Linked DNA regions of Macaca fascicularis. The protein of the gene in region 2 binds, or shares a complex with, the protein of the main gene of each other region. Links are inferred from orthologs where the notes say so. Each region holds a gene or a part of one and is shown on either strand. Other genes may lie near its edges.

Region 1 (3,936 bases), about 13 Mb from region 2:
TCCTGATCATGCATCAGCCTCTCGGCTACACCCAAAAAGGGCCACCCAGTGAGCTGAGAAGGGAGAGATGGCACAACCCAGGAGAGACGTAGAGGCCGCAGCCTCGGGGACAGGCCTGGGGGCCAGGCAGGCGCACAGGACCCTCGGAGGGTGGTCGATCCCAGGCTTTCTGTGTTCTCTGCCATATCCGCACACCCATGAGCTCCTGATGATCCCCTATAAATCAACCTATTCGTTCTTTTTCACTCACACACATATTTTGCAAATTAAAACGTAACTGGAAAATCGTTATCACCTGCTGTTAGTAGAAGGCAAAACCAAACACAGTGCCCTGAAAACAGAACAACCAAGTCCAGCAGGATTCCTCGTCCTCTTCAGGCCGTTCTCGCTTTGTTTCAGAGGACACTTTGCGGGCAGTAATGACACTGACCTCGAACGGAGCTCTGCTCTGGACCCAGTTTTGGGGATGGAAAGAGAATTGAAAAGGAAGTAATGTTCTCGTGGAGGGATCAGAGTTGGGTAAGGCCAGGCCTGGGAACCACCTAAAATCTTCCTGTGGTTTGCGGGATGCTGTGGGGTTTGTGGCTAAAACGCTTGCCTGAGAGGTGGACTCCACAGGCCCCGGACAGGGTCCCTGGGATGTCCCTAGACAGAATCCTAGGCCCCCCAGATCCCAGGATGAGAACCTACTCACTGCCCCGCCGGTAGTAGGCTTACAATGTGGGAGCCCGGGACGGCCGTGCAGCCTGCAGCTCCTGGTCTCCTCCCCTGGCCTGGGGTGCCCTTTCCCATCAGCCCAGAGCAGACAGATCTCCACCCCTGGGGCCCTGCTGCCCACCCCTCGCCCCCTCCCAACTCAGGCACCCTGAGCTGCTACTCCATAGAGGCCTCAATCCACCATCCAGAGCCTTCTCTCCTTGCCCCGCCCCCCACTGGGGTATTTCTGGCTCCCAGAGGGGCAGACAGCGCTGAAACCCGAGCAGAAGCCGTCCCCGGTGCCACGCCTGGAGAGGGGCATTAATAGCAGCCTTCCTCAGGCCCCTGACGCGTCTGGGCAGCTGCTCAGCACATCCCGCGTCCCTCAGCCCCAGGGCCAGCCCACTCTGGCTCAGCCAGGCACACTAAACTTAGTGGCCACTCCCAACTCGACAACCACCGCCACCCCCCAGCTCGGCTGTCACCTGCCGGAGGAGACGCAGCCGCCAGACCCTGCCCAGGGCACCCACGCCTCGGCGACCACCATGTCCCAGACCAAAACGCTGAAGGTCCGCGTGACCCTCTTCTGCATCCTGGCAGGCATCGTGCTGGCCATGACGGCCGTGGTAACCGACCACTGGGCTGTGCTGAGCCCCCACATGGAGCACCACAACACCACCTGCGAGGCGGCCCACTTCGGCCTCTGGCGGATTTGTACCAAGCGCATCCCCATGGACGACAGCAAGACCTGCGGGCCCATCACCCTGCCCGGGGGTAACGTACCCACCCTCCGTCCCGATCCCCACCTCCCGCCCTTCCCCGTCGTCCCCCGGACAAATTTGCCCATGCCAAGGAAGGCAGGTTTCTCAGGCTAGAGATAGGGCAGCCGCCCAGCCCTTTCTGCCCAGGGAAGAAGATCTGAATTGCATGTGCTGTGCTGGTGGCTGGGGCTGGGTTGTAAGACGAGGGCGTTTGTCCCAGCTATTTCTGTCTGGCTGGACCCTGGGGCTTTTCGCCCAGAACAGAGAGCTGGGCAGGCTCAAGACGGGAACCGCAGCTCTACCAGCCCAGGGACTTCTGGGCTCCATCTGGTCACTCTCTCCCTGCAAAGACATGCTGGGTGGCTCTGTGTCCTCAGGCTGGGGGAAACCATGGAGCTGGCAGGTTTGTCCCTGGCCTCAAGGCAGGGGAGGAGAGAGGACAGGCGACGGAATATGCAGGGTCCTGTGCAAAATGAAAATGCAGGGTTCCTTGCTCCAAATTACCAAGGATTTCAAGGCAGCGATAGCAGCACATGAATCCAAGCATGGACCCTTGTGGGCCCTGGGCCTGGAGAAGCTGCACAGGTTGAATGCCTGTGAAGCAGGACGTGGCTGTGGGTGAGCCACCTGCCCCTACCTTTTTTTTTTTTTTTTTTTTTTTTTTGAGACAGAGTTTTGCTCTGTCGCCCAGGCTGGAATGCAGTGGTACAATCTTGGCTCACTGCAACCTCCGCCTCCTGGACTCAAGTGATTCTCCTGCCTTGGCTTCCCCAGTAGCTGGGATTACAGGCATGCGCCGCCACACCCATCTAAGTTTTGTACTTTCAGTACAGACGGGGTTTTGGCATGTTGACCAGGCTGGTCTTGAACCCCTGACCTCAGGTGATCCACCTGCCTTGGCCTCCCAAAGTGCTGGGATTACAGGCGTGAGCCACCGTGCCTGGCCTCCGCCCGCCCTTTTGTCAGGACGTCAGTCCATTATGCATCCTCCGTTAGCTCAGACCCTGTCAGAGTTACAAAGCATTTCCTCACCCTGTAATTTAAGCGTGTTCCTCGATTTCCTACCATGTGACCGAACCACATGTCGAAGGTAAGCTCCTTTTCAGGAGTACCTGGTAGTTGCATGACTAGCCTCTATTCTGCAAATGCCGAGGCTTCTGGATTCTTAGCAAATACAGCACTTTAGAGGAAAGGGTGCTACGTGGAGACCAGGCGGCCAGGGATCTAGTCACCATTGCCCATTACCCTCAAATGACCATCCAGCGAGGACAAAGATCATCTCAGCCTCTGCTTCTTCCTCTATAAAATATGGGACTGACTCTCAGCAATGTAAGATCCCTTCCCAGGTTTACAGACGCCCATCCACAGTGGCAGTGGAGCAGGGTTATGTCAGTGTGATGTCCCACCTGGTTTTCAGGATTATTCCCTCTTTTACCAGACTTTGGTGTTCCTTGAAACCTGTCCTTCAAGGACACTAGGGCTGAGTCCCCAAAGATCTTGCAGTCTGCATGTGAACCAAAGAGCCAACACCCCATCCTCCCATATCTCTGCTCCCTCTTCTTTCCCTGCTGCTTGCTCCAGAGATCCCCTCCCTCATTCACGCCCACTGGACGCCCAGAAGACTCGTAAGTGCCCAACTGTTATAGAAACACCGAGTCCCAGGGCTGAGGGTGACAGGTGTGGCCATGTGCTGGCAGGGTATCGCATAGCCCGGATGCCCATGCCCCTTGGCGACTGCCAAGCACACCCATAAACAGGCAATCCCTCCAGCCAACTCCCCTGGGCAGGGCAGGGCAGGGCAGCTTCTTCAGGGACCACGCATAGGGACGTGCTGTTACAGTCCTGTTCACCCGTCCTTGGAACCATCTGCCTTTTAAAGTCAGAGCAGAGGACTGGGCAGTGAGCAGAGTCCACACAAGGAAGAGACAGGCTGGTGAGAGGTGACTAGACCAATTACAGGGGACCAACAGGCATTGCTTGTTGGACCAACAGGCCTTGAGCCTCACCAGGATCTACCTCTTTGCCTTCTTAGCCTAACCAGCTATGAACCATACTTCCCACACTTGTGACACTGAGCACTACCTTTCTCCCAGTCATCTTCCAAAGTATGTTCCTACCTTTTTCCCTCTCTTTTCTCTGCAAATGGACATCTTTCTCCTTCCCCATATGCCCTTCTTGTGCCCCCTGGGACCATTCTTGTCTGGAGGGAGGAAGCGGGTTGATATGTGGCCTCTCATTTATTATTAACAACAACAACAATAATAATGGCACATACATGTAACCCTATGTGCCGAATATTGTTGTAAATGCTTTACGTGTATCAACTTTGAATGACATCACGAAAAAGATGATAGAGAAAAAGAACTTCCAAAAATCTTCTTCTCCATAAAAGCAATGAGAAGGCTGGTGGAAATGGTCAGAATCAACATTTTCAGAACTCTGGAAATTAACCAAAGTCCAGCAAGAAAAATGGGTGAAT
Region 2 (3,500 bases):
AGTACTTAAATCCCATCATCCCCTTTATCTCATTAGAAACATAGGACTCAGAAAGGTTAAGTCGGCTGGGTGCAGTGGCTCATACCTGTAATCCCAGCACTTAGAGAGGCTGAGGCAGGAGAATCACTTGAGGTCAGGAGTTTGAGACCAGCCTGGCCAACATGGTGAAAACCTGTCTCTACTAAAAATACAAAAATTAGCCAGGTGTGGCCAGGACCGGTGGCTCACACCTGTAATCCTAGCACTTTGGGAGGCCGAGGACAGCGGATCACGAGGTCAGGAGTTCAAGACCAACCTGACCAACATGGTGAAACCCCATCTCTACTAAAAATACAAAAATTAGCCGGGTGTGGTGGCATGCGCCTGTAGTCCCAGCTACTCAGGAGGGTGAGGCAGGCAAATTACTTGAGGTGGAGGTTGCAGTGAGCAAGATTGCACCACTGCACTCCAGCCTGAGTCACAGAGTGAGACTCTGTCTCAAAAAAAAAAAAAAAAAAAAAAGCCAGATGTGGTGGTGTGCGCCCATAATCCTAACCCCAGCTACTCAGGAGACTGAGGCCCAAAAATTGCTTGAACCTGGGAGGCAGAGGCTGTAGTGAGTGAGATCACACCACTGCACTCCAGCCTGGGTGACAGAGCAAGACTCTGTCTCAAAAAAAGAAAAAAAAAAAAGTTAAGTAACTGGTCCAGGGAGCTCAGCTCATGGGATGATAATGGTTACCACTACTGGCTGCCCTCATAAATCAGAGAGTAGGCTGGTTACGGTGGCTCATGCCTGTAATCCCAGCACTTTGGGAGGCCGAGGTGGGCAGATCACGAGGTCAGGAGATCGAGACCATCCTGGCTAACACGGTGAAACCCTCTCTCTACTAAAAATACAAAAAATTAGCCAGGCATGGTGGCGGGTGCCTGTAGTCCTAGCTACTCGGGAGGCTGAGGCAGGAGAATGGCCTGAACCTAGGAAGCGGAGCTTGCAGTGAGCCGAGATTGTGCCACTGCACTCCAGCCTGGGCGACACAGCCAGACTCCATCTCAAAATAAATAAATAAATAAATAAAATAGGCCGGGCGCAGTGGCTCACGCCTGTAATCTCAGCACTTTGGGAGGCTGAGGCGGGCAGATCACAAGGTCAGGAGATTGAGACCATCCTGGTTAACACGGTGAAACCCCGTCTCTATAAAAATACAAAAAGTTAGCCGGGTGTGGTGGCGGGCGCCTGTAGTCCCACCTACTCAGGAGGCTGAGGCAGGAGAATGGCTCAGTGAACCCAGGAGGTGGAGCTTGCAGTGAGCCGAGATCGTGCCACTGCACTCCAGTCTGGGCGACAAGCGACACTTGGTCTCAAAAAAAAAAACAAATAAACAAATAAATAAATCAGAGAGTATACTGAGCTGCTTACACCATTCCTCTCAACAATAACACGAGAGGGATTATAACCCCACTTTATAGGTGAAGAAATAGAGAATCAGAGGCTAAATAATTCCCCCAAGTTTCCAAGTTCAATAAGAAAAACCAACAGTAATAATAAATCAATATGTAAATCAATCAGAGCTAGAATTTCAAGCCCATGCTGTCTGTTAACTTCAAATCCTTCACCTCAACTCTTCCTCCATGTTTCTCAGATCCCCACTGGCATCTAGAAGGGAAAGTTAATGGTGCTGCAATACAAGGAAAAAGTAAGACGGCCTTCTTGCAGATTCCCCCTCTATCAAAGTCCAAATGAGGACACTGCAGCAAAAAGGGTTGATATCGAGAGAGTAAAGCAACTGGGCAACACAGCTAGATCCTGTCTCTAAAAAATACAAATATTAGCTAGGCATGGTAGTGGACACCTACCCACTAGTCCCAGCTACTTGGGAGGCCGAGGTGGGAGGATCGCTTTAGCCCAGGAGGTAGAGGCTGCAGTGAACCATGATTGCACCACTGCATTCCAGCCTGGGTGACAGAGCAAGACCCTGACTTAAAAAAAAAAAAAAAAAGAAGAAGAAGAAAGGAAAGACCTCCCAACTGCCAAGTAGCTGGGTGGCACTGGAACAAAAAGCACAGAATTCTTTCAGTCCAAGGGTGGGAGGTCAATCAGGGTGGAGACAGGGGACTGGTCTGCATGACCCTAATAGTAGTAAATAATAGCTAACGTGTTGTATCAGACCATTTGCTAAGTGCTATACATTTATGTGATGTTGAAACACTTGACAATACCATGGAGCTTTACAGAGAAGGAAACTAAGACTCGGGTAGATTAAGTCACACAATCAGTAAGCCATGGAGCTGGGATTTAAACCCAAGCAGCCCGACTCCAGAGCACTCCTTTTAAACCATGCTGTCCCGGCCAGGGTCAGGCTCCTGCACCCACCTTGGGAGAGGTGATCTTGATGTAAACAATGATGGGGGCCAGCGAGGTCTTGGACAGCTGGGCTGGGTGATTGATGGTGTCAGCATCCAGAGCAACCAACTGAAGGGTCCGGGCCAGCTCGAAGATTCGCTCGATTTCACTCTGCACCTCAGCTGGGGGCACGGAGTCATGTGGATGGGGGAATGTCAGGTGGCCTCCCAGGAGGTAGTAGGTGGAGGGAACGCTTCTGGAGATGGCCCTGCCCACTAACTCCCACCCCTCCCACGTCCAGCCCAGAAAGGGTGAGTGAAGACAGCAGGGGTGGGCTCACCCAAGCTGGAGCGTGTGTTGGAGCGCTCAATGATGATGTGTTTGCTGGGGTTGTTGAGAACTGAGCGCTTAGCCAGAGAAATGTCTGCCGTCACACGAGTGATGGAGATCCTGGGGAATGGGGCAAGAGGGAAGTCAGGGATCAGAGTGGGCTGGAATGCCCTGCCCACTCCCCAGTTCCAGGCCCGCCTTCTGTTCCTCAGTCCCAGGACTGTGATTCGAGGCATCCGGCCCATCCCCAGCAGCAGAGAGCAATGGCAGGTGCGAGGAGCAGCTCCCAGGGTCTTACCTGCCATCAAACCGATGCTTCAAGAAGTCAAATAAAGCTTTCTGCATCATGTCTGTAACCTGGGGGTGGGGGTTTGTGGGGAGGGAAGGAGGAGAAGGTAGGCATTTAAAGCCACTCAGACTCTGAGCAGCTGGGTATTTGTACCCTCACGTTCCACTTTCTTCCGAACAGGACTTTATGGTGGGCAGGGGTCTGGGTCTGAGGGGTCTCCACTGGGGTCTCTGGTTCCAAAGGTCCCTGTAAGTGGCATCTCTGGGAGGACTTTTCTGGGGGTTCCTTTGGGGGACGGGGTTCCTCTGTGTGGGTCTTCCTGTGGGTTAGGCCCCCTGGGGGTTCTCTCTGAAGGTCTGTAGCCCTCCGGGGAGGATGCCTTGGGATCTAGGCCCTTCTAGGGGATCTCTCTGGGGTCTGAAGATCTTTCTAAGGCCCCTCTGCATCCACTCCCCTCTAGGGAGTCCTACCTCGTAGCCCTTGAGCGACGGTCCCACCAGGATGATGGGCCTCATGGAAGGCACCACGTCATAGGGGGGCACATGCTCTGTCTGGGGG

Evidence for each region. Proteins that work in one complex are often made in the same cells at the same time.
Region 1: CACNB1 (region 2) and CACNG1 share a complex: the UniProt entries of both Homo sapiens proteins name them as parts of the calcium channel complex. The link is inferred for Macaca fascicularis from reciprocal best matches to the Homo sapiens genes CACNB1 and CACNG1.

Annotation. Positions count from the first base shown.
Region 1 is NC_088390.1:73,474,212-73,478,147, forward strand, and holds the start of CACNG1 (voltage-dependent calcium channel gamma-1 subunit), read left to right. Parts: upstream 1-1,136; 5' UTR 1,137-1,241; coding exon 1,242-1,470; intron 1,471-3,936. UniProt on the Homo sapiens protein: Regulatory subunit of the voltage-gated calcium channel that gives rise to L-type calcium currents in skeletal muscle. Regulates channel inactivation kinetics.
Region 2 is NC_088390.1:60,213,037-60,216,536, forward strand, and holds part of CACNB1 (voltage-dependent L-type calcium channel subunit beta-1), read right to left. Parts: intron 3,494-3,500; coding exon 3,413-3,493; intron 3,011-3,412; coding exon 2,952-3,010; intron 2,774-2,951; coding exon 2,664-2,773; intron 2,506-2,663; coding exon 2,354-2,505; intron 1-2,353. UniProt on the Homo sapiens protein: Regulatory subunit of L-type calcium channels. Regulates the activity of L-type calcium channels that contain CACNA1A as pore-forming subunit.